4 linked regions of the Arabidopsis thaliana genome follow. The protein of the gene in region 4 interacts with the protein of the main gene of each other region in a pairwise test. Each region holds a gene or a part of one and is shown on either strand. Other genes may lie near its edges. The genes, in order: CYP94B3, AT1G66760, AT5G48240 and AT1G73920.

Region 1 (5,135 bases), on a different chromosome or scaffold from region 4:
TGGGTTTTGATATAGCAGATTAGCAGTTGGAGCAATAATTCAAAAGCTTATATAAGAGTTTTCAAATTATTGTGCGAAAACAATCTAGACTTTTTATTTGTTATTTGAATTATGTATTTTCTACTGTTTTCGAAATATGATCATACAAAGATGAGACGAAACATTTTAATAAAATCTTTGAAATGTTTCTAATTAATTAAAGAAAATATTTTTTCTAATTAATAAAAAATATATATATATATATTTTTTTAAAACCAATGGAGAAATAAAAATTTAGTATTTCCTTAAACAAATGATTTTGATATTAACTATTTTAACTATAAACTAATATATTCTAATTATAATTAAACAATTTTTACCCATAACTAATGACAATTAAAATAAATAAATGACTGATTTTGGACAATGTTCAAATGTTCTTCTCTTTTAAAAATATAAAGATAGATCATTGCTCGCTGAAAATTGTTGACAACTTGACATCTAAGCGATCGGTGTGTGCCTTTGTAAGTTAGGTTGATTCTACAGAGTGAGATTAACTCTGTGAACTAATAAAATTGTGGAGAATGAGAGAGTGATGAGATTTTTGAAGTAAGATGCGTATAATTATTTATACTACCTTGAAGGGTTTATTTGGGTTATAATTAGAATTGTATTGTGGTCTCTGTATAGTCTTGGGCTTTATATGTTGGGCTAAATATTGTTAATCCCACAAAAAACAAAAAATCCGACCTGCCGGAATCGAACCAGCGACCTAAAGATTTGCTGTCACAGACTACAGTCTTCCGCTCTACCAACTGAGCTAAGGTCGGATGCTGCAATACATTCGCTTTGTTTACTTTATTAACAAATGTTTACAACTAAGAATAAGCTACATGTCTACAACAATGCAAAAGAATTGACATTATAGACATTCTCATTGGTTTGGTTCTCACTGTTCACATTTCATTTAGCTTCAACATCTACATGGCCAGTTCCTAACTAGATTATTGATTTTTGGGCTTATTTGGTTATTTTCGGTTTGCTCAATCCAATTTGGTTTCGTTTGGGTCAGCGGCAAGACTACAAGCTCTATTTCTAACTCGATGCAAAAAATTATGTTTCAAGGAATTGAACCAAAACTTACCTGATTATATTCGGTTTTGGTATGTTTTACAAATTTATACAGATTGATTTCGCAGGCAGGAGTATTGCCACACTGATATTCTATATATAAATAACTCGTTTTTACATATTCTATTAAACGTTGTTAAGGATGTGACTTCTTCTCTTGATCTTCACCTTAAGCCCACCAGCCATATGAGCCGTTAAAAGAGGAACAAAAACCGGCCGGTCTTTGTTAACCGGCACAATCTCAAACCGACTCAAAACAGAACCAACGACGTATTTCATCTGCATAAATGCCATCTCTTTCCCTACACAAACCCTCGGCCCGGCTTGAAAAACCGGAAATTTGTAGGGACTAATAGGTTTCAAAACCGGTCGTGTACTCCCCGGTTCAGAATCAAACCACCGGTTCGGGTTAAACTCTTCTGAATCCGTACCCCATAGCGTCTCCATCCTCCCCATACCGTATGGGAAATAGGTCACTTTGTCTCCTCTCTTGACACGTGTCCCATCAGGCAAAACGTCGTCGTTTGCAGCATGTTTAGAGTCCCACGAAACTGGAGGATATAGCCTCATGGCTTCACATAGACAAGCCTTCGTGTAAGCCATCTCTTTCAAATCCTCAAACCCTAACCCTAAACTCACCAACGGGTCCACTTCTTCTAAAATCTTCCGCTCCACGTCATCGTTCTCAGTCAACAACCAAAACAGCCACGTCATCGCTGCTGACGTTGTATCTCTTCCCGCCATGATAAAACTAATAACCATGTCCCTCACTGCTTCGCCGTTGTGGCCGGCGGCTAGAAACCTCGACAAAAGATCTTGCTTTGCTTCTGCTCCGGTTCCGATCTCAAGACTCTTCTTCTTAGCTCTGACAATCTCAGAGACCAACACGTGCACGGTCCTGATCGCTTCCCTAAGCTTCCTCTCGCTTCCCACGTTCAACACACGCTTCGTTTTCCAAACAGCGTAAATAGGCTCCGTGGCACGGCGAGCACTAATCTCAGCAGCGGTGTCAAAAGCCTCCACAAGTGGATTAACGGGTCGGGTTAGATCCAAACAATCCGGATCCCAACCCAACGAGACTTTACAAACAACATCAAAAGCAAAACGTTTCAAAACATCTTGCAAATCCACGGTCGTACCAACATCAGCCGCCGTGGATAAAACCGGGACTAGACGGTTCTCCACTTCGTCTTTAAGAACCTCAAAAGCAAAACTCCTAAGCGAGCGAGTGGAGAACTCGTGGCTAGCGAGTTTGCGCTGCGAGCTCCATGAGTGACCGTCGACATTGAATATGCCTCCACCGAGAAGATCACCAAGAAGATCAGTAAAAGGTTTACCTTTAGGGAAGTTAAAGAAGTTTGTTTTGAGAATGTACTCGACGTTTAATGGGTTTGTTGTGATGATGGTGCGACGGTTGCCGAGGAGAGGAACTAAGATGGTTTGAGACGGAGAGAGACGGAGAAGCTCGGTGTACCATTGAAGAAGACGATGACGGTTTTTGTTGAAAGAGAGTATGGAGCCAATGAGTGGATACGATGGTGGTCCATATGTGGTGTTTTCTTGGACTTTTTTAGTTGAAGATGAAGATAAAAAGAAGATGATGGTTATAAGAAACGCTAGTATCAAAAAACTCAGAAGAAATGCCATATTGTTTAATTGTTTTTTGTTCTTGGTTTTTTTTTTGTGTTGGTGTGTTGGAAAGAGTTTGTGAATGTGCTTTTTATATTGCTAATTAAGTGTTTGTGTGTGTTCTTGGTGGGTATTGCGTGTGTGTATATAGAAAGGGAAAGGTGGCGGGTCCGGACCAATCTGTCCCGAAACATATCGCTTTTAGTATTAATTTGATTTCTTATATCACATTTTGATCGACGTAACACGGTATTATACTATTATGTGTCTACGGAGATATTATTTTATCTCCTTTTTTGTCTTTAGTGTAGCTGTATGTCACTGTTTCATTCCTTTTTTTAGTCTAATATATAGTATCTTTTTTTGAGAATTGTCCTAACGAAAATATAAATGTTTAGTCAGGCTATTTTGTCTCTTTTAGGATGACGATATTGTTTCGAGTTCCTAATACTGTAGTATAGATTTTCTCTTTTAGTGATAAGCTCCATCAGGATATTGAACTGTTAGTGTAACTGTGAGTATGTATCATCAAATGATTAATATTGTAATAAGCACATTGAACAACTTTCCTGAAAAAACCACATTTGTGTATAAGGAATTTATAAAATTAAAAAAAAAACAAAAAAAAAGAATTTATAAAATTAATAGGACATCAAACATTTCTTTTAATTAATTTATTCGTTTATTACATATTGTTTGGCTTACTTGACCCTTTATTTATCGCTCGTTTGCTATCTAAGCCGCTTTTGTGTTTCCTAATTTGACGTGTTGCAAACGCTTTGGCGACGCAGAAGTCCAAAGTTTTAGAACGTGGCATATCTCCGACAAAACCACGATAGAGACTATGACGCAAGGAAAATAGACCTATATTAAAGTAACTAAATTAATTATAGTGTACTTTGAATGGTTAACAAAAAAACTCAAATGATATACGACATCTCCATTAATGGTTACAATATTACGAAACATCCAAACATTATATTAATATTTGTTAGGTCAAAATTTGAATCGAACCGTGGTTTCTAGAATATAATACATGTATTAATGGTATAGTTGAAATTTGAATGGTAGCTTGAAAACATGAATTTCGCTCCGGCTTACAATATGTGTTAATAATCACTATTCTAATGTCTTAAAAATAATTAAGCGATTATACTTTTGATAAAATGGTCGGGTGTCAAATAAATCTGGAGGCGAAATGTAGAAAAGTAAACATTGAAAAGAAGAAAACAAATACTAGCAAGAGCCTGACAAAACTGTTCCCACTCGAACAAGAGCTATTCAATTGTGCACGTGTTTCTTTAGGCTTGAATTTAACCAGTAAAGTCAGTTTTATATGAGACGAAAGAAAGATGAACTTGATTTCAGCCACTCACGTTGTCGATACCGTCTTTTCTTGCTCGCACACAAAATAATTACGGAATTGAACAAAAATAACGGCGCCGTTCTATAAATTATATGAGCCAACATAATTGATTGGTAGCACGCAAAAAAAATGACTTAAGAAAAGGAACAACCGTTTTTTGTCTTCATGACTTCACCGTCCAAAGAACTCGTGGGTTATACAAGAGATATTTTTCCAGATGTATACAACATTTCGTTGTTGATGTTGTAATGTAATAGTTATACCAGATTTCTATGATAATTTTGACAAATAAAGGTTTCTATTTTTTTTTTTGAAAATTTTATTGTAAGTGGATGAGAAATTTCATAACTTATTTGATCAATAGACGCCAAAGCAGTGTAGAAAACAATTTTTGTGATCAATCACAATCTAGAATGCATGAGAAATTTATTAAAGTCTAATAGAGTCGGTGTAATAACTAATTACCTTGTTCTAAAACTAACATGATAAAATAAAATTCGTTTTAGCATATACTTACATCATGTTCAATATCAATTGTAAGCCAAATGAAAAGCAAAGAAAGGCAGAAGCAAAAAAACTTCACATAGCCTTTTAGCCTCAATCCATGACTTGTTTCTTGTTGTTGTTGTTGTTGAGTTATCTTCTTCCTCTCGACATGAACTCTATTAGCTTCTTCTTCTTTCCTTTCTTATGGTAAACGATCTTTTGCTTCACCTCTTCTCACGTCTTCTCACTTTTTCTTTTGCAAGTTTAATGAAATGTTTCAAGTTCAATAACAACTTCTTACGAAATTGAGCTCCGATTAGATTCAATTCAGCGTTAAGAACGATCGAAATGATGTTGCGAATGATCGATCTCAACTTATGCAAGATCAGAGAACAGAAAACGAAGAATAAAGACACACGATTTGTTTACCCGGTTCAGCAAGATCGGTGTGATCAAGCCTACATCCGGAGCCGAATCAATTCGGCAAATCCACTAAGCTTTATGAAGAGTACAACTAAAACCGAGCTTACAACAATGGTGATTC
Region 2 (5,988 bases), 2.9 Mb from region 4:
ATAGATCTCAACTTCACCAATCGGATCTCTTTCATCGATTAGATTGATAAAGTTATTCCATGTCAAAGGAAAAAAACAAAGAGATAGTTGGATTATCAAGATGCATGAAGTATGTGGAGTGCTTTTTTAAACCAAGTGAACGTAAATATGAATTTGTATACATAATACATGTGATTAGAGTTAGTTTAACATAAGTAAAAAAGAAAGTTGAAACTATCAAAATGCTCTGTGTAAGTATTAATTATTTCTTCCAACACACGATGTCAGAAGTCAGAACCGATTATTAATACTTTTCTCAACAACTTCTGTTTCTTTATTTATTTTTGATAACTTCGACGAGGATAAGTAAGAAAATGGCTTCCTCTTTTTCAGTGTGTATAATGCAGTTCTTGACTGGACTACTCTCAATTGGATATCACGGATTGTGAATACATATTCTCGGTTATAACTTTTAACTTTATAAGTTATACTTTTATTTAGTTTCACAATAAGTGTGGTTTAATTCTTACAAGTTTGTATCAAAATAGGTATTGTTTTATATTTTGAATGTAGTTACAGTATTTGGTGAAATTGCAATTCTATTCTTACTATTTTAATGTATTGACCAATAAAAAAAAGTTGTATAATATATTAATAAGAGATAAACAAAAAAAATGTTTTTACTATATGTGAAGAACCTGTAAATGACATTGTGAATACATATATTCTCGGTTATAACTTTTAACTTTATAAGTTATACATTTCTTTCTTTTCACAATAAGTGTCGTTTTAGTGTTAAAATTTTATTTCAAAATAAGTATTGTTATTATTTTTAGTGTAGATATTTGGTAAATATTCAATTTTAATGTATTGACCAATTATAAAAAATTGTATAATATATTAATAAGCGATAGACAAAAAAATCTAATTGTTTTTTTACTATATGTGAAGAACCTGTAAATGACATTTATACTAAAACGTAAAAAGTATGTATGATATATTGAATCAAAAATAATACTAGTAATCAGTAGTTAAGTTACATCTATTTTGTTAACGAAATAGTAAAAAAAAATGTCATTAAGAGACGGATTTATTATTGATATCAAGTAGAGCAAAATTTGTTTGTTTAGAAACACAAACAAAATCTTAACTTTGGCGGTTTAGTCTGACTAATTTCAAATTTATGTTGTGGAGTATATAAAGTCGATAGTACTTTTTAACAATGATTTTGAAAACTAAAACTTTATGTTATTGGAGTATTATCATGGATTGGAGTTTTTGTCAATGAATTAACATGGAGATGTGGATTAGGTTAGGTTCATCGAGATATGTATTTAAAGTTGAAACATGTGTTTTATTATTATTCTTTTCATTTATTTATTTTTTTCTTTCTGTCGGTCAGTATTGAAACATGTGTTTAGTTTCATTTGTCCTCTCAGGCCTCAGCATGTCTAGTCTAGGAGTATTCTTTATGTTTCAAAATATAAGAGGTTTTAGTTAAATATGCAGATTAAGAAATATCCATTTTTAAAAAAATTCAACCATTCATAAAAATATCATATAATATAAATAATTATAAAATATTAAATTAATCTATAGTTATGTTACACAATTTACATAAATCACGCTGTCATGAGTAGTCTTTTTCATATATCATCTATTGACAAAATAACAATTTATCTTGTTGTTCTTTTGAAAACTAGCTATTACTACATATATTATACATTTTTTTTCTCATAAGTGGTTTAACGCTGACAAAAAAAATCTATTGTAAGATGGTAACCACTGAAAGCCATCTTAGGTTCAATACTTAAATAAATGATATGATATTAAAAATATTGATCATGGACCGATGTTTATCGATTTGAGCCAATGCAATCAATACGAAGAGAGACTTTTATTCCTTATTCTTTAGAAATGTATATCTCATTTTATGACTAATTAAATAATAACTGATGATCAGTATGTGGTTCTATACATTTAAAAATCTTCTAATTCAGTTTTTTTTTTTTTTTTGGTATCGATGTTAAGTATTTATACCGTTTTCAAGTTTGAGACAGAATACAGAGTAAACAATAGAAGCAAAAAAAAAAAAAAAAAAAAAAAAAGGGAGAAAGACTACGACTAAAGGAACTACGAATACAAGAGATAACACGATAAGAAACACAAAGCGAAGCAACTAGTAAAGGCTTGAAGAGGAAACACCGATTCTAATTCAGTTTTCATATCTGTTTGATACTCTTAAGGTATTATATTGTTCTGTGTTCCAGTTCTATCTCATGCTAATCAAAAATATTGTTAATACCACTCTTGCCTTTTTCAAGAACCGACATGATTTTTAAGTTTTAACCACAAATGTATTTGATTGGTAAAAGGTTCTAAAAAGTTTCAACAACTCACAAAGCCTTAAAACTGAACCATTCATGTTTTACTTTTCTTTTTAAGGCTATACAACCAAAACAAACTTTATGTTGTCTAATTAATTTCTCTGGCATAAAAAAAAAAAAAGACTCCACAACTAAAATCTTTTAAGTACAAACTACAAATAGGAACCAATTATTAGTTACTAGTTAGGATGCATCTTCTTCTTACACGTGCTGAATTCTATCTTTTGACTTAAATGAGTGAGATGATAAAAGTCGAAAACGATTTCGCTTTTATACGCGGAAGCGGAAACGTGTTTATTTTCTTTTCTTCGAGTCGCGACGTCGCATATATTATTTATCAAAATACAAATTTTATTATATCAAAATCATAAAGCTAAATAAATACGACACAACTTCCAACATTTTCTCTAACCAGAAAGAAAAAAAAAATGAAGAAGAGTATCGAAACTCCGTTATTGTTGAACACCAAACAATCACAAGACGAAGATAAAGAAAAAATAAGATGGGAGAAGATGAAGAAAGTTGCTTCAATGGCTGCTCCAATGGTCGCCGTGAACATGTCTCAATACCTTCTTCAAGCAACTTCTACAATGATCGTCGGTCACCGGAGCGAACTCGCTCTCGCCGGAATCGCTCTAGGAAGCTCCTTTGCTAATGTTACCGGCTTTGGTGTTCTTGTAAGCAAGTATATGAACCTTTATATATATATATGTATTGGATTAATTTGTTTCTAATTATTGTTGTATACTATATAGTTTGGACTTTCAGGTTCATTGGAAACACTATGTGGTCAAGCATATGGAGCAAAACAATATCACAAGCTTGGATCTTACACTTTCACTTCAATAGTTTTCCTTTTGATTATCTCTGTTCCGATTTCGATTCTTTGGATGTTCATGAACCAGATCTTGCTGTTGCTTCATCAAGATCCTCAAATAGCAGAGTTAGCTGGTGTGTACTGTCTCTGGCTGGTACCAGCTTTATTCGGTTACTCTGTTCTCGAGTCGTTGGTTCGATATTTTCAGTCACAAAGCTTGATTTATCCAATGGTCTTGAGCTCTCTAGCTGCTCTGTCTTTCCATGTTCCTCTCTGTTGGCTAATGGTTCATAAATTTGATTTTGGAGCCAAAGGAGCGGCTGCGTCTATCGGTATCTCTTACTGGCTCAACGCGGTTTTTCTTTGGGTTTATATGAAACGCTCTAGTCGTTGTGTCGAAACGCGGATTTATATGTCCAAGGATGTTTTTGTTCATACAAATATCTTCTTTCAATTTGCCATTCCTTCTGCAATGATGTGTTGGTAAGTATGTACAACTTTATTAAAAATCCATATAGAATTAACCAAGTGATGGTAGTCTAGTGGTGGTCATTGTTTTGTGGATAGGTGAAAGATTTAAAATCTTAGGTTACATAAATAAATGTGTAATGGATTTTTTTTCCCTTCACTAATATTCTATTGACACTTATTTTCTTATTGCTCTTGCTTCCTTCAATAGCCTTGAGTGGTTAGCTTTCGAGGTCATTACTTTGCTGTCTGGTCTTCTACCCAACTCAAAGCTCGAAACATCGGTTATTTCGATTTGGTAATGTATCGAACCGCAAAACTATATAATCTGTGATACTTATATTTTCTTTCATTTTCTAAGCCTTAATTTTTGGGATTGAGCAGCCTCACGACCTCTTCATTGCATTACAATCTAGTAAATGGAATTGGTGATGCAGCAAGGTTTGTTCTTACTTTAATACTCTTACATCGAATTTTCACTTCATTTTATTTTCGAAGAATTAATGTTTCATTTTTTTTTGTTTCGTTGGTTAGCACCAATGTGGCTAATGAGCTAGGAGCTGGGAATCCGCGAGGGGCTCGTGATTCTGCTGCGGCTGCAATCATAATTGCAGCTGTTGAGTCAGTTATTGTGAGCTCTAGTCTGTTCTTGTCTCGCAGTGTGTGGCCTTATGCATATAGCAATGTGGAGGAAGTAATTAGTTATGTGACTGATATCACTCCTATTCTTTGTATCTCAATCCTCATGGACAGCTTCTTGACCGTCCTCTCCGGTTAGCCTTTCTTAACACGCATCTCCGGTTTTGCAACCATGTTATTATTTTTTTGTGAACGTGAACCGAATATATGTTTTGTTTTGTTTAGGGATTGTGAGAGGAACAGGGTGGCAAAAAATTGGAGCTTATGTGAACATAACCTCTTATTATGTCATTGGTATTCCTGTTGGACTTCTATTGTGTTTTCATCTTCACTTCAATGGGAAAGGACTTTGGGCTGGTTTAGTCACAGGATCAACATTACAAACTCTAATCCTATTTCTTGTTATTGGATTTACCAATTGGAGCAAAGAGGTGATTGTAACCGCGTAACTCGCTTTTTTCTGTTTCTAATCCATCATTCGATTTTTCGAGAAATCGAGCTAATATTTGTTTACACATTTTTTCTTCAATGAAATTTTGCAGGCAATTAAGGCTAGGGAGAGAATTGGTGATGAGAAAGTTTGGAGACATGACTCATTGCTTAATTGAAGAAAAAAAGAAATACAAACTTTTGGGGGATTTTGATTGCTTCTTTTTTTGTGTGTGTTTGTGCAATAACCTTCAGTTGATTGTAATTTATATTGAAAGTACATTATAGTCTTTCATATGATATTAGAGTGTAAGAAAGTTTGAAAATATATCTCAGTTAAAAAATGATCTGGTATATAATAGATGAATTAAAGAGTGACCAAAGTTGATTGGTTCAAGCTTAAAACTTCTATACTATAAAGTCTATAATACAACTTTACGTGGCCAAAAAACAAATAATGAACCAAAGAGAGAGTATCTTGAAAGGATATACTCAAAGAATTAAAGAAGTCAAAAAGCAAATTTGAATACTTTCTCCGACAAGAGATGCTCATAAGAGTCAAGGTGAGTAGGTAATTGTTATGGCAGAAAACACGTGGAAGCAACGACACGTCATACATAATATTGAAGATTAACAAAAAGTTAAATTAAATCAACATCAATCCAAGAAACAAAAATGTATGGACTTGCAAAATCAGTTATACAATGAGGTGAATCCAGCCTCGCAGAAGTCCATGTTCAAGTCCAGTTTTGCACCAATATAGTATATTGGTTTCATGGACGTAAGAGTCTTGTCAAATGAATCCAGCCGCGCATCAGTCCATGTTCAAGTCCAGTTTTGCACCAGTAAATTGGTTTCACGAACGTGAGAGTCTTGTTAAATGAATCTAGCCTCGCTTCAGTCCATGTTCAAGTTCAGTTTTGCATCAAGATATTGATTTCATGAACGTAAGAGTCTTGTCATGGAACTCCTAACAATAAATAGATTGACCCATATCATTTTTATATTACGTTCTCGGTTACATCACACTTTTAATGTTGGATTCCTGATACGCCTGCTCAAGAGGAGGGGTTTTCAATTATATTTCAATTGAACCTCATTCTAAAACTAGCAATAAACCCAACTTGGTATTGAAACTTAAATTTTGGGATGTTACGTTGGACATTTTTCCGAAAACTAATTTTCGGCAAATTTGTCACTCGAAACTACATTGAGAACGTTGGATTCATCTAATCTACAAGCACTATCTTTGTAGTTTGTAGATTGTAG
Region 3 (5,252 bases), on a different chromosome or scaffold from region 4:
ACAAAAGTTAAACTCTAAGTTAATGAAATTGTAGTTAGGCCAAAGTTTTTTTTCTGTTTAAGGGCAAATTATAATTATTTATTAATTGTTTATCAAAAATAAAATATCGGTCAACGCATAATTCTGACAACCGAAGTAGAATGGTTATGGTATTGGCAACATAACTTATATTTATTTGTGTATGTCGGTATGTTATAACAATATATAGTGTAGCTAACAAGACATTTTTAAAGTATGCATGTGTGACTAGATGATGACATCTCTTTCGTATAAGTAGCAAACATTTATCCATTTTTGTGCTCATATAAACTTATTAACATAAAAATCTAAAATTGAAAATAAGATAGTTAGTTAAGTTTTATTGTGCAAGAAATAGAAAAGAATAAAATATTGGGATTGTCATCAAGATTAAAGTGGTTCCTTGATTGATCTCACCAAAAAAAAAAAAAAAAGAGACTTCTACGAGAGGCAACTCCTAAAAATACTTCTCTTCTTCTTATCACACAAATTATGAATCTGTTTTGATGGAAACCTAAACACATGGGTTAATGAGCTATTTCTATAACAATGATTGGGTTGCTCTACTAATTGTAGTTTGTTTGACAAAGATTTTTATTCCACTTTTATTTTTTGTTCGATAATTCCTTATCCAAACTTGATTTAAACCCCAATTTTGACCTGAGTTCAACAAATAAACGCAAACTTAGCGAACAGGATGAGACAAATTTTCTATCTCGAAATAGATTAAATAGTTATTAAAAACTTATTCTTTTTATCAGGATTCTTTTGTTCTATTCCTTTCACAACTTTGAATTCTTTGAAGCACTTTTGTATAAAATCACAATCATTTTGTTCAGATTTTGGGAGCTGGAACTGAAGTGTTGTTTCTAAAATCTTATCAAAGGGATGCATGTTGTATTGCTTTTGTGTCGCTTATTAAACTTTCAATTTGCACCCAAACGAGAAATAAGATCAAATCCTCTTGTTTTCATTTAGATTTGTGTTGACATTTGTGTTAGTTTCTTAGTGTAAAGGAACAAGTTTGTGTTGACATACATTCTTTCTTCGTTTTTTCAGTGGCAATTGACAGTTCCTTACTTGCTACTTCCTCTAAGATTGTCACTTACTTGATAAGATGAACAACGATGATGTAAGTTTCTTTTTTTTTTCTAATGTTATAGAATTGTATGATTGAGAATTGGATGTTTTTTCCTGAATTTAGAATTGGTCGGACGAAGAGTGTTGATATTTTCTTCAACTTTGTACTGCTGAGGAAAAAGGGAATAGAAGAAAGACGAGATTAAATATAACTGGAAAAGAGTCCATCATGAGATAGTTTGAAGAAAAATTTGGGAAGAGATATTCATGGGATAAACAATTCAAGAACAAGTATGATGTGCGTAGAAGAACATACACAAAGGTTAAAAACTTGCTTCATAACAGAACTGAAATTACATATGATTCTGTGTAAAGAATAAATATAATTTTTCTTTTCATTACGTTTACCTAAGTATTTAAGAAAGCAAGTAAACATACTTTTAATAACTAAAGGTCGCTGAAAATTCTAAAAATTGTAACGTGAATTCTCAAAACTGTAAAAACTGATTCTTTTTATTGTACCCTATATGTTAACGTTAATTCTCATAACTCTAAATTCTTATTTTTCCATCAAAATCATGACGTCAATCAAACTGTTAAAAGGCGAGATACAAATATAAATATTGTACTAATATTGTTAATCTGAAATATCTACTATTCAAACATATTTGTTTGAAGTATATCATATTACATGATACATTTTTTGGTGATGAATCAAATTGATGAATAAACATTTCAATATGAAATTTACTTGTTTTTGAATAATTATGTAATACTTTTTTTTATTAGTTATATTTTGTAAAAAAATATAATATTTTATTATAAATTTCATCAATTGACACATATTCATTCATGACAATTTTTTTATCAAGCTTGAGATCCTCAAAATGGTTTTATCATTAGTTATATTTAAAATTTTAACATTAAATCATAATAATATAAAAATTTGGTGTTTTTCAGTTTTCTAAAATTATAAATTATATTATTTTGGTATTTTGTATTTACCGTTATCGCACATGCTAGTTAACCAACTATAAAACTTCAACAAACGTAAAATTTAACCGCTAAATCAATCATTTAAAATATATGATAACTCTTAAAACCGCAACTCTCCGTTTCCATAAATTTCAGCAGTCTGCATTTGAACCATTCAAGCCTCGTAGTTTGGTCAAGAACCGATTACGCGGCCAAATCTTATATCCGACGCTAAGTCGCTAACCATGTGGAAACCATTATTTATCAATAGAAATCAAAACGACAAAACCCGACCTAAACCGAAATCTCAAATTCGAACCCAAATCCAACTTACAAACCTGACCTTAACCGGAAATCAGAATCCGAAAACATTTTCCCTTATAGCAAGGTTTAAAGAAAGCAATAACAAAACCCTATCTCTCGTCTCTTCTCCCCCAAACTCTCGCCGCCGTGATAACCCAAAGTTCTCGACGAAGCCATGTCTACCGGAGAAGAAGGTCACATGGCGATGGCAGATAGAGGCTCTAGAAAGAGAAGAGTCGGCGTTAAGAAAGGTACTAAAGCGGCGAGGAACAAAAAGCAAAAATCAAAACCTTCTACTTCCGATAGGTTTAAGGTTACAATGAAGAATCAAAAGCTATTTCAGAAGAGAGCACGAGATTACAATTCCGATGACGATGAAGAAGAAGATGATGAATCGAAGAAACAACCAGAAGTAACAATTCGTGAGAAGATCTTCTCTGATGCTAACATGGGACCAAATTACGAAGAGATTGGAGAAGAAGATAATGATGAGAATTCAGATGGTGAAGATCATGGAGAGATTGAATCTGGAATCACTAAGTTTGCTACTGATGGATGTAATGCTTTCAAAATCGCTTTTAAAGCTATTATGAAGAAGACTAAAGGAGATGATACATTGGTGAGATTTTATAGCAGATTCTAGTTTTGAGTTTTGATTTGGGAATATAGTGTTGAACTGTGTTGGTGTTGTGTGTAATAGGGCCCAGTTTTATCAGCACATAAGCATCTTATTGGAGAGAAGCTAGCTGAAGATGAAGCTGAAAAGAAAGCTAAAGGTCAAGCTAGAAAGGCTAAACATTTGGTATGAGTTTGGTTGTTGTGTTCACTATTCGTTTGTGTTCTTGTGTTTTAGATGATGATTTATCTTAACAATTGCTTTTTTAAGATTGCTGAGAAGGGACATGTTAAACCTGGAAGTTATTTGGATTCTCATGAAAAGATTCTTATTGGTGTTGCTACTAAAGGAGGTATTGTTGCTTTGGTTAAACTCTCTGTTTCTTGAGATTGTTTGGTTTTTTTTTTTTGTTTTAGTATTGACTCTTTTTTTCCTCTCCATGAACTTGTGGTATCACAGTGGTCAAGCTTTTCAATGCTGTAAGTTTGTTTCTATGTCTATTTTTGAGGTTTTTATTCTCCGGTAGTGATTCGTATGATTCTTAGTTTATGTTTTTCAAATAGGTCAACAAGGCTCAACATGCTCAGAAGGGTTTGAATCCTTCAAGGTCTAAAGACGCTAAAGGTAGGCTTAGAAATTGATCGTTGGCATGAATCCACTGTCTTGTTCTTATCTTCTAATTCTCGTTTTTTATCCTATTGGAACATCCATCAGTGCTGAAGAAGCGAAGAAAAGAAGCATTCTTGTCTGAGTTAGGGAAAACAAAAACAGACACCAAGGTTTGGCATAGTCTCCATATCTCTTACTCTCTCTCTTTCATTATGATTTATCTTGAGAGTTTATTCCTTAGCCGTTTGATGCACGTAGAAACAAGTTAGTATTCTGTCTTGATCTAGCTCCTATAGAGAGTCACGAAAAGAATCACCTCATGAGTGAGTGATAGATGTTAGTTATAAATCAGAAGTATTCTTAGTAAATTACTAGTAACAATTTTGAATGTTCTTAAAGCCTTCAACTTTGGATGAACATAGAAGCAAGTTAGTATTCTGTCTTGAGCTGGCTTCTATAGAGAAAGGATCACCTTCAGTAGCGAGAGCCGTTAGTTATAAGTCTAAAGTATTGTTGGTTAGTTAACTAGTGATATTCTGTTGGATGGTGCAGGCTCACAAATCTGAAGACGAAGCTCCTGTTTGGGCTCCTCTACGAGATAATTACATGTTAGCAAACCCAAAACTGAAGGACTGGGACAAGAAACAGGTATCTCTTCATTCTTATCCACAAATCTGGAATCACATAGCTTGCATACTGATTTATACTCTTTGATCTGAAACTTAAAATTGAATTGTCCGCAGGAAACAAGCGAGGGAGATGATTTTGCCGGTTTGTCAGGAGATGAAAGTTATGAAGACTGAAGAGTTTAAACTAGTAGTTAAACGAGCAAACTTTAATTTTGCCTTTGTATCATGCAAATTTTGTCTGATCAATATGAATGAATTCAGTTTTTTGATAGTGCAAAAGGATCCTGAAAGGTTGTGATTCTTGTGGTTACGCTTTTAGAAAATACACTTGTTAGTATCATTAACCAATACCGTAAATATAGAAGTGATGATACTCCAAACTTCTACATGGTTATTATTTATATGACGTAAAAAAAATATACATTCGTTGTTTTGCCTTGGCTACACAAATTATAATAGGACAAAATTTAAGGATCATGAACCTGAATCTGTAGAAGAGTTTCTAGTTTCACAGTCAAGTCATGATGCCAAATGACAGAAGAAGATAACAAACTTTATGCAAAAAATGAGGCAGAACTGCAGAAGCATGCGCCTTTCTAAGCAAGTATGACGCTTTTGAGGCGGAGAACTCGTGTTCCTTTTCAACCAATAATGGCTTCCAGATCCATCGCTGCCAATTAGTTGCATCTCTGTCTTATATCTCCACTTTGTGATCTTTCATTGTTTTGAGGTTTTATCCTCAGTAGCTTCTTGTTGGGCTCATCGGGTCGTAATCATAAGCTTCACCGGACTTGACAAACCGTCCTTTCACACGCCGTCTCACATCAGCCCTTTCTTTCCTAGAGACATACCTTACTCGCTTGTCAAACCTATTTATACAAAATATGTTAAATATTAGCTATAACAACTTTCAATGATGAATTAAATTCCTTTCTGTGTGCGTTTATACTTACTTGCGAGCCTTCTTCTTTTCCTTGTAACGCATAACAGCGTTATTACGTGTTGTTGCATGTGAGGAAGCA
Region 4 (7,447 bases):
GACTATGGACATGAATTGTTATTGCACACATGATGTGTGTTTATTTGTTGCAACACTTGAGTTCTTCATGCTCGTTTCTTATTTGGTGTTTTTGAGTTCATTCGTAAATTGTGCTTCTTGTTGACCACAAGAAAACAAGAATGTTACCGGAATCTCGTTAACAAATTTTTAGAATTTGAAATAGTTAACCAATTGAAATACCAAATTTAGAAAACTTGAGCAACAAAGTCGTTGTAGTATAGTGGTAAGTATTCCCGCCTGTCACGCGGGTGACCCGGGTTCGATCCCCGGCAACGGCGTATTTTTAATTTTTTCATATTTGTTTTTATTTTAGTCCCTTTGTTTTCAGTTTCTTTAGTTTTAGTCCCTCATATTTCAGGTTTGTTTGTTTTAGTCCTTCTCTTCTTTATATTCAACTTCCCAATCCGAGACAAAGTGAAATCACTTAAATAGTTTACTTTCCGGTTCCGTTCTTAAACCTTCCGACGAAGCTCCGGTAGAGAAAACCTCTCTTCACCTCTCCCATTCTCGGCAGCCATGTACGGTGGAGGTAGGTTTTATTTTCGTCCTCTCTAAAATCTCTCTCTGATTGTACAAATTCAGCATTACTTCTTTCCCTTTTCGCTTGAGCTCGTCTCGTAAAGGTGTAAACTTTTCCTTGGTGGGGTTTCTTATATATTGAACAGACGAAGTGTCAGCTATCGTAGTAGACTTAGGTTCTCACACTTGCAAAGCTGGTTACGCCGGAGAAGATGCCCCTAAAGCTGTTTTCCCTTCCGTAAGTCTCATTCTTTACTTCCTCTCTTTTCAATTGGTTAAAGTTAGGTCCTTTTAGTGTAGAGCAAGCAATTCGAGAAATTTAGGTTTTTTGTTGTTGCTGTTGTTGATGTGTTATATAACTTATAAGGTTGTTGGAGCGATAGATGGAAATGGAATGGATATTGATGATGCTGCAAACACCACGGAGGATGCAAAGGAGTCTGATAAAGAAAAAGGCAAAAGGAAGCTTTACACAGGATCTCAAGCTTTGAACTTTCGCCGCGATCAAATGGAGGTCAGTTTTCTTTATTAAACTTCAAAATGGTTAGGGATGAAGATAAATTTTCAGGTCTCTCTATTAGTTGACATTTGTCTGTTCCAGATATTGTCACCTACAAAGGATGGCATTGTAACTGATTGGGATATGGTGGACAATGTATGGGATCATGCTTTTAGGTAATTTGCAGAATCTGTTAGTTTTTGTCTTTAACTGTTTAATCTTTATCTTTTCCATTTATAGTTGATTGATGATTTCATCTGTGTAAATGTTTATTATTCAAGGAATTGTCTAATGATTGATCCCACGGAGCACCCAATGCTACTTGCAGAGCCTCCTCTGAACTCACAGCAGCAGAGAGAAAAGTCTGGTTTCTCTACCTTTTATCGATGCTGAGTTCATCTTGGATTAGGAACAGATTATTCTGGTGGAACATCATCAATGCAGTAATTGAAAGAACGCCTCGAGAAAGACTTGGTAGAAGTAAGGTAGTATACTGGCATCGTTAGGCTCATTCCAGCAAATGTGGTTCTCCAAGTCTGAGTAAGTAACACATTGGATTGCTCTCTAGATCTCGACTCACGTATAAACAGTGTCTTCTCATCGCTAGGGTTTGAGTCTTTTTGTGTACATGACAGGTATGCAGAGCATGGAGCTTCTTACATCCAGAGGAAATGCCCTTAAAAGCTGCTTGAGATCAAGATAACGAGAACCTTTGGAGACAGTCAGAGGGTTTAGGGATTAAGTAATTAGTATCTTTTCATTTATTTAGGCAAATATTAAACACTTTTTTATTATTATTATGAAGCTTTAGAAATAGCTTCGTATAATATAATGTTTCAACGTTAACATACAACAAATGTACTATTTTTCTAAGTGAAAACAACCACAAATGTACTTGTGTGTTTGCCTGTTTGGTAAATCCACCTTCTCCGTTATCCAAAAGTCGAATTTACGTGTCGTAGTTTTTGTCACATTCGTCATTATCCAATAACACATGTCCACGTGTCACCATTTTCTGGTCTCTGGACGGCAAGAATCGCCGACGTGCCCCTATTTAATCGGATTCTCCCATTTTTATTTTATTTTCGTCAGATTCTCTCCAATTTTGTTTTTTCTTTTTAGATTTTTGATTCTCGAATCGCGGCTCCTGTGGGTCTCTGTGTTTTCCTTATTTTGAGTTCGGATTAAATCTCGATCGCGATTTGGTCCAATATCTCCTAGCATCGAGAGATTTCTATTCTGGCTAAATTTTGTGTTTTCTCAGGTGGATAAGAAATTTTCTCTTTGTCGTTTTCCTCGATAATTTTCGGATTACGGCGACGAATCAGATTGTTTTTTGGTTTCAAATTTTCTGATATTTCCAAAAAAACAAAAAAATCTGATTTTTGAGAAAAAAGCAATGCAACGGATCGTGGACAACGCTCTCGCTGTAACCAAAGAGTGAGTCTTTTTTCTTATCGATCATCAGTGGATTCATCTGTGTATGCGCCTATAGTTGTTCTAATGTTTCATAAATGACAAGTAGAGATTTTTAAGTTTTTGATCGTTTGGTGATTATAGTAAGTCTCTTTGTTAATTAGTATTGGTAGATTGTGTTTTTGAGTTTTGTTAGACCATTTTATTCTAGTATCTTCATTCAAAGCTTCGTCTTTTAGAGTTGATGTTGGCTATGAACTTTGAGTCGGTGAAATGACTATTTCTTTTTTTTTGGTTCGTCTTTTTGTTAGATGTTCTTCTTTTCCCTTATGTTGTCTAACAAGCTTAAACTAAATAAGCTTTTTGATTATGTTTTGGCTTTTAGTGCAGATCAGTAAAAACTGTTACATATGAGTCTTTGAATAACATTGCGAGGTGCATAAATGGAGTATCAGCTCTTCTGTTGACCCTTCTCCCAGGGAAGGCTAATATTCTTGAAGGCTTACATGGCTGGGAACTCAGGCCTACGTTTCGTGGACCACGTTTACCACGGTGGATGCATAAGTAATAATTTCTCATGATTCTTCTGTTGTTAGTTTATTTGCAAGCCTTCAAAATATGCTAATTTTACTCTGTTTTTGATGGCAGTGGGGTCTCTTCTTTCAATGAGTTCATTCATGAGCTTTCTGTTGATTCTGATACTTCAAGCTTGGAGTATTCTTCTGGAGAAGATAGTGATGGTCCTTTGCCTCCATCACCATCATCTCAAAGCTCACGCCTCTCTTGGGCTAGCACTTCTGCAAGTTCTGAAAACCACTGGACAGAGTGGATTACGTTCATTCTTTGGTGGTTAATGTTTCCTGTACGGATCTTGCTATGGATACCACAATATATTATAAGTTTATTCTATAAACGAAGTTCAAGAATTCCTGCGAGCCCGAGAAGGCACCAACATTCATCTAGACCTCGTATTAGCAAGACCAACTCAAGCAAAGACCATGATGTTCCCAACCGAACTACTGATAGAAGACGTGGGGTTATTGAGGTTTGTGGATGCACGAACAAATATTCAATGTTACAATCATTTTTGTGATTTTAAACCTTTTGACAAACTCGTCCTACTTAATGTGCTTTATTTTTCAGGATCTTCATCTTGCTATCGAGATCGGCATAGAAGCAATATTTGATTTTTTTCACAAGGCTACGCATCTTCTTCTTTCTCCATCAGAAGCTTTTGCAATATTGTTATCATGGTTCTCATCTTCCAGTCGCAGCCCTAAAGAAAACCATGGTGAGGTTGCTTATGATGAAACTGTGCAGACTGCTACTTTAGGAGATACAGATCCATCCCCCACGGAAAGGCCCGTTGAAAGTCCCACACGTTTATACAACTCTATGAACACTGATACTCGAACGTGTCAAGATGTCATAACAGAGTTGGGGTAAAGGGGCAGATTCGATGTCTCATGCTTCCATTTTTTTTTTCTCTTTCTCAAGTAGTTGATATTTACTTGATTTCTCTCCTACTCTTGGTAGGTATCCTTACGAAGCTATTCGTGTTATTACATCTGACGGATATGTTCTTGTCTTGGAAAGGATACCAAGGTATAACTTTCTTGTTAGATATTAAGCTCGCTTGTGCATGCTTTCCATTCCTGTTACATTGTCTCTTAATGTGATCGTTGACTACTCTTGTCTTTGCAGACGTGATGCAAGGAAAGCTGTTTTTTTGCAGCATGGGGTTTTGGATTCTTCAATGGGGTAAGTTTCATGGTCTAGTTCTTAGATGACTCGTAAACTTTGGAAACTTAGTAAGCTGAAAAGTTGAGGAAGTATTATTTTCTATATCCATGTAGCATAACATTCCTAGGCGTTTCAATGTTCCTGACTCTTTACCCAAAAAAAAATTATTTTCATAATTTGTTCCCTTCAACTTTGCGTGTGTGTTTGATTTGCTCAAGACACAAAAATGGATTTGGGAAAATCTTTTGGTGCGATTAGGAGGGATACTGCTTTCAGTTACTTTAGTTATCTCATCTTCTTTTTTCCCTTTCCTTCTCTCCGATCCTTCTTAAAGATTTAGTTTTGACTTGGAACATCCTATAATCCTCTGATGTTTTGATCTAATATATGTCCTATGAAACATTATTGATTACTCTTTTTCTCTACTGCGTGTTTTTCTTCAGATGGGTATCTAATGGGGTTGTTGGATCTCCGGCTTTTGCTGCGTATGACCAAGGTTCAAGCCTCAAGTTTTTCATTTTCCAATCTTTTATTAATTCACATACGGCAACGATTTATCAGCTTCTTACACTCTTTTCCTTTACAGGCTATGATGTTTTTCTGGGTAACTTTCGGGGTTTAGTTTCAAGAGATCATGTGAACAAGAACATATCCTCAAAAGAGTGAGTTATTGCTTTAAAGTTCACTTCTTACTTAATCTACATGCACTGTCTGGTTTCTTTATGATAGTGGAGTTTCATCATATGTATATATTTGCAAGTTGTACAAATGTTCATTGTTATTGACCAAAATGCAGGTTCTGGCGATACTCCATTAACGAGCACGGTACTGAAGATATCCCAGCGATGATAGAAAAAATTCATGAAATAAAAACTACAGAACTCAAGCTCTGCCAGCCCAATATCGATGAAGAAATCAACCAGGAGGAGCCTTATAAGCTCTGTGCCATCTGTCACAGTCTAGGCGGTGCTGCAATTCTGATGTATGTTATTACTCGAAAAATCAAGGAGAAGCCACACAGACTCTCACGACTAATCCTACTTTCACCTGCTGGGTTTCATGAGGACTCGAACTTAGGTTTCACAATAGTTGAGTACATATTCCTTTTCATTAGTCCAGTTTTGGCTCGCATCGTGCCTGCCTTCTACATACCGACAAGATTCTTCAGAATGCTTCTGAACAAGTTAGCCCGTGACTTTCACAACTATCCTGCTCTTGGTGGATTGGTCCAAACTCTAATGAGTTATGTAGTTGGTGGAGACAGCTCGAATTGGGTCGGAGTCTTAGGATTGCCTCACTACAACATGAACGACATGCCAGCTGTCTCCTTCCGTGTGGCGCAACATCTTGCTCAGATCAAACACACCGGTAAATTCAGGATGTATGATTATGGAAGCAGATCAGCTAACATGGAGGTTTATGGCTCTCCTGAACCGCTTGATCTAGGGGAGTCTTACAAGTTCATCGATGTGCCTGTGGATTTAGTAGCGGGAAGGAACGACAAGGTGATCCGTTCCTCTATGGTGAAGAAACACTACAATGTGATGAGAGATGCCGAGGTCGATGTATCGTTTAATGAGTTTGAGTATGCTCACCTTGATTTCACATTCTCTCACCGTGAAGAGCTTTTGAGATATGTGATGTCGCGGCTTCTGCTTGTGAAACAGACACCAGTTCAACAGAGGCAGACCAGTCAGAAAGGTATGAAGTTGAAGAAGAAGAAAAAGGAGGGTACAGTAGTGTAGTAGCTGAAACCGATCTATGGCCAATGTTCAATGCCTCGTAGAGTTTGGTGTCTTTGTATTGTGATGTTGTGTGTAAGCTTCATGTGTGTGTTCTATGCCAGTATCCTATGGCTTGGCTATAATAGTGTACATATACCGTAAAGATTGATCCCTTGATGAAATGATCTTGTTGTGAGAGATGCTTTTTTCAGCCGTATGGTATATAATAATGTTTCTAGTGGTTTGGTTTCCATGAAAATGATATGATGTCATGAAAGATGCTATGAATCCAGAAAATTCCTCCTTTCCATTGGAAGATCTGAAGAGACCAATTAATCATATAGTTGGCGAATCTTTGCATACTTTGACATAGAACTTCTGTAGGTCATACAGTTTATTCATTTGTCGTAATAATATAAATCATAGTTACAGTTACATGTTTAATGGATCCAAGAAGGATAAATTTATCTGGTTATAGAGTTAAAAATACAGCAGTGATCAGTGATTTCGGTGTTGTGTGATTCTCATGTTTCAAAAGAAAAAACGAGTAAACAATTAGGGAAGATGAAGAATTTTTCTCTTTTTTCTTTGGTACAGTTCAAAGAATGAAACAGAAAAGGGAAGAAAAGAAATCAGAATCCTCATGGACGCCGTAGTGAAGAAGAGCATTCATTGGAGCTCTGATGGATCTTGAAGAAGAGATGCTCTTTGTGGATTTAAAAGCAGAAGTTGCTGCATGTCCTTTGGAAGCACACTGAACACCGCTTGTAGATCCTTCTTCAGTTTCTGAAACGTTCCTTCTGAATCTGCACCTCCTCCTGATTCCAGCGACTGCAAAATATATGTTTTCGATATGTCATAATGGTTCCAAATCTGCTGAAGAGAGAACTAGTTTATGTTTATCATTACGTATTCTACCTAACTATGCAGATATGTACATCGCTAACAAAATAAAATCTATCTTTACATCTCTCAGGCATGTAAGTAATGTTTACATGGGAGTGTCCAAAGAAAAGAATCTAGCACAGAAGTAACATGAACATGAAATTAAGAGTCTAAAGGAAGGTAAACTTACCTTGACTTCCTCACTAATGTGTTTCTCAATGGCATTGAAGGAATCCACAGCTTCCAATTCATTCATCTGAGACGTAATCTGCCTCATATCAGTCTTCATTCTAGCTAGCCTCCATAATCTACGCTGTTCTTGTTCAGCAACAGCTCGCCGTCTTTGGAACCAAGGCGAAAAGTTGGGTCCTCGTAGAAACCGCCTGAAATATAATGAACTGTTTAGCAAGGGAACTAAATATTGGTAGCCCAGAATGAGACAATATTGTTTATACCTATACAAGTCGGGCCAGTTAGATTTCATCCGTTTAGACAAAAACTTCCCTACACCTCTCCCAGATAAATTTGAAAGGAATTCATCAGCACCAAATGATGGGAGCGCAGGAGGGGTAACATATGGGGAAGACCCATCTGAAGGAGCATTGACCTGGAAATATGGACCAAAAGGGGCCAAGAAATT

The links.
Region 1: the proteins of AT1G73920 (region 4) and CYP94B3 interact in a two-hybrid assay, tested with the Arabidopsis thaliana proteins (one large-scale study listed by BioGRID).
Region 2: the proteins of AT1G73920 (region 4) and AT1G66760 interact in a two-hybrid assay, tested with the Arabidopsis thaliana proteins (one large-scale study listed by BioGRID).
Region 3: the proteins of AT1G73920 (region 4) and AT5G48240 interact in a two-hybrid assay, tested with the Arabidopsis thaliana proteins (one large-scale study listed by BioGRID).

What each region holds. Positions count from the first base shown.
Region 1 is NC_003074.8:17,973,868-17,979,002, forward strand, and holds CYP94B3 (cytochrome P450, family 94, subfamily B, polypeptide 3), read right to left. Parts: upstream 2,908-5,135; 5' UTR 2,758-2,907; coding exon 1,237-2,757; 3' UTR 986-1,236; downstream 1-985. UniProt on the Arabidopsis thaliana protein: Hydroxylase involved in the oxidation of the plant hormone jasmonoyl-L-isoleucine (JA-Ile), a bioactive phytohormone of the jasmonate-mediated signaling pathway. Converts JA-Ile to 12-hydroxy-JA-Ile.
Region 2 is NC_003070.9:24,899,316-24,905,303, forward strand, and holds AT1G66760 (MATE efflux family protein), read left to right. Parts: upstream 1-2,566; 5' UTR 2,567-2,794; coding exon 2,795-3,043; exon of another isoform or gene 3,044-3,121; coding exon 3,122-3,666; intron 3,667-3,862; coding exon 3,863-3,949; intron 3,950-4,035; coding exon 4,036-4,092; intron 4,093-4,185; coding exon 4,186-4,424; coding exon of another isoform or gene 4,425-4,429; exon of another isoform or gene 4,430-4,515; coding exon 4,516-4,721; coding exon of another isoform or gene 4,722-4,739; exon of another isoform or gene 4,740-4,832; coding exon 4,833-4,898; 3' UTR 4,899-5,128; downstream 5,129-5,988.
Region 3 is NC_003076.8:19,556,750-19,562,001, forward strand, and holds AT5G48240 (Rrp15p protein), read left to right. Parts: upstream 1-2,493; 5' UTR 2,494-2,551; coding exon 2,552-2,995; intron 2,996-3,076; coding exon 3,077-3,178; intron 3,179-3,262; coding exon 3,263-3,344; intron 3,345-3,451; coding exon 3,452-3,471; intron 3,472-3,555; coding exon 3,556-3,616; intron 3,617-3,706; coding exon 3,707-3,771; coding exon of another isoform or gene 3,772-3,842; coding exon 3,843-3,928; exon of another isoform or gene 3,929-4,023; coding exon 4,024-4,078; exon of another isoform or gene 4,079-4,153; coding exon 4,154-4,249; intron 4,250-4,344; coding exon 4,345-4,404; 3' UTR 4,405-4,526; downstream 4,527-5,252. Other genes in the region: BBX8 (B-box type zinc finger protein with CCT domain-containing protein), read right to left, coding at 4,970-5,099, 5,184-5,252.
Region 4 is NC_003070.9:27,788,756-27,796,202, forward strand, and holds AT1G73920 (alpha/beta-Hydrolases superfamily protein), read left to right. Parts: upstream 1-1,981; 5' UTR 1,982-2,438; coding exon 2,439-2,479; intron 2,480-2,840; exon of another isoform or gene 2,841-2,845; coding exon 2,846-3,019; intron 3,020-3,103; coding exon 3,104-3,500; intron 3,501-3,598; coding exon 3,599-3,897; intron 3,898-3,991; coding exon 3,992-4,060; intron 4,061-4,159; coding exon 4,160-4,216; intron 4,217-4,641; coding exon 4,642-4,694; intron 4,695-4,784; coding exon 4,785-4,860; intron 4,861-4,994; coding exon 4,995-5,943; 3' UTR 5,944-6,173; downstream 6,174-7,447. Other genes in the region: ARP4A (actin-related proteins 4A), read left to right, coding at 538-550, 687-778, 908-1,054, 1,142-1,215, 1,368-1,545; AT1G73930 (polarity axis stabilization protein), read right to left, coding at 6,592-6,753, 6,998-7,190, 7,263-7,447.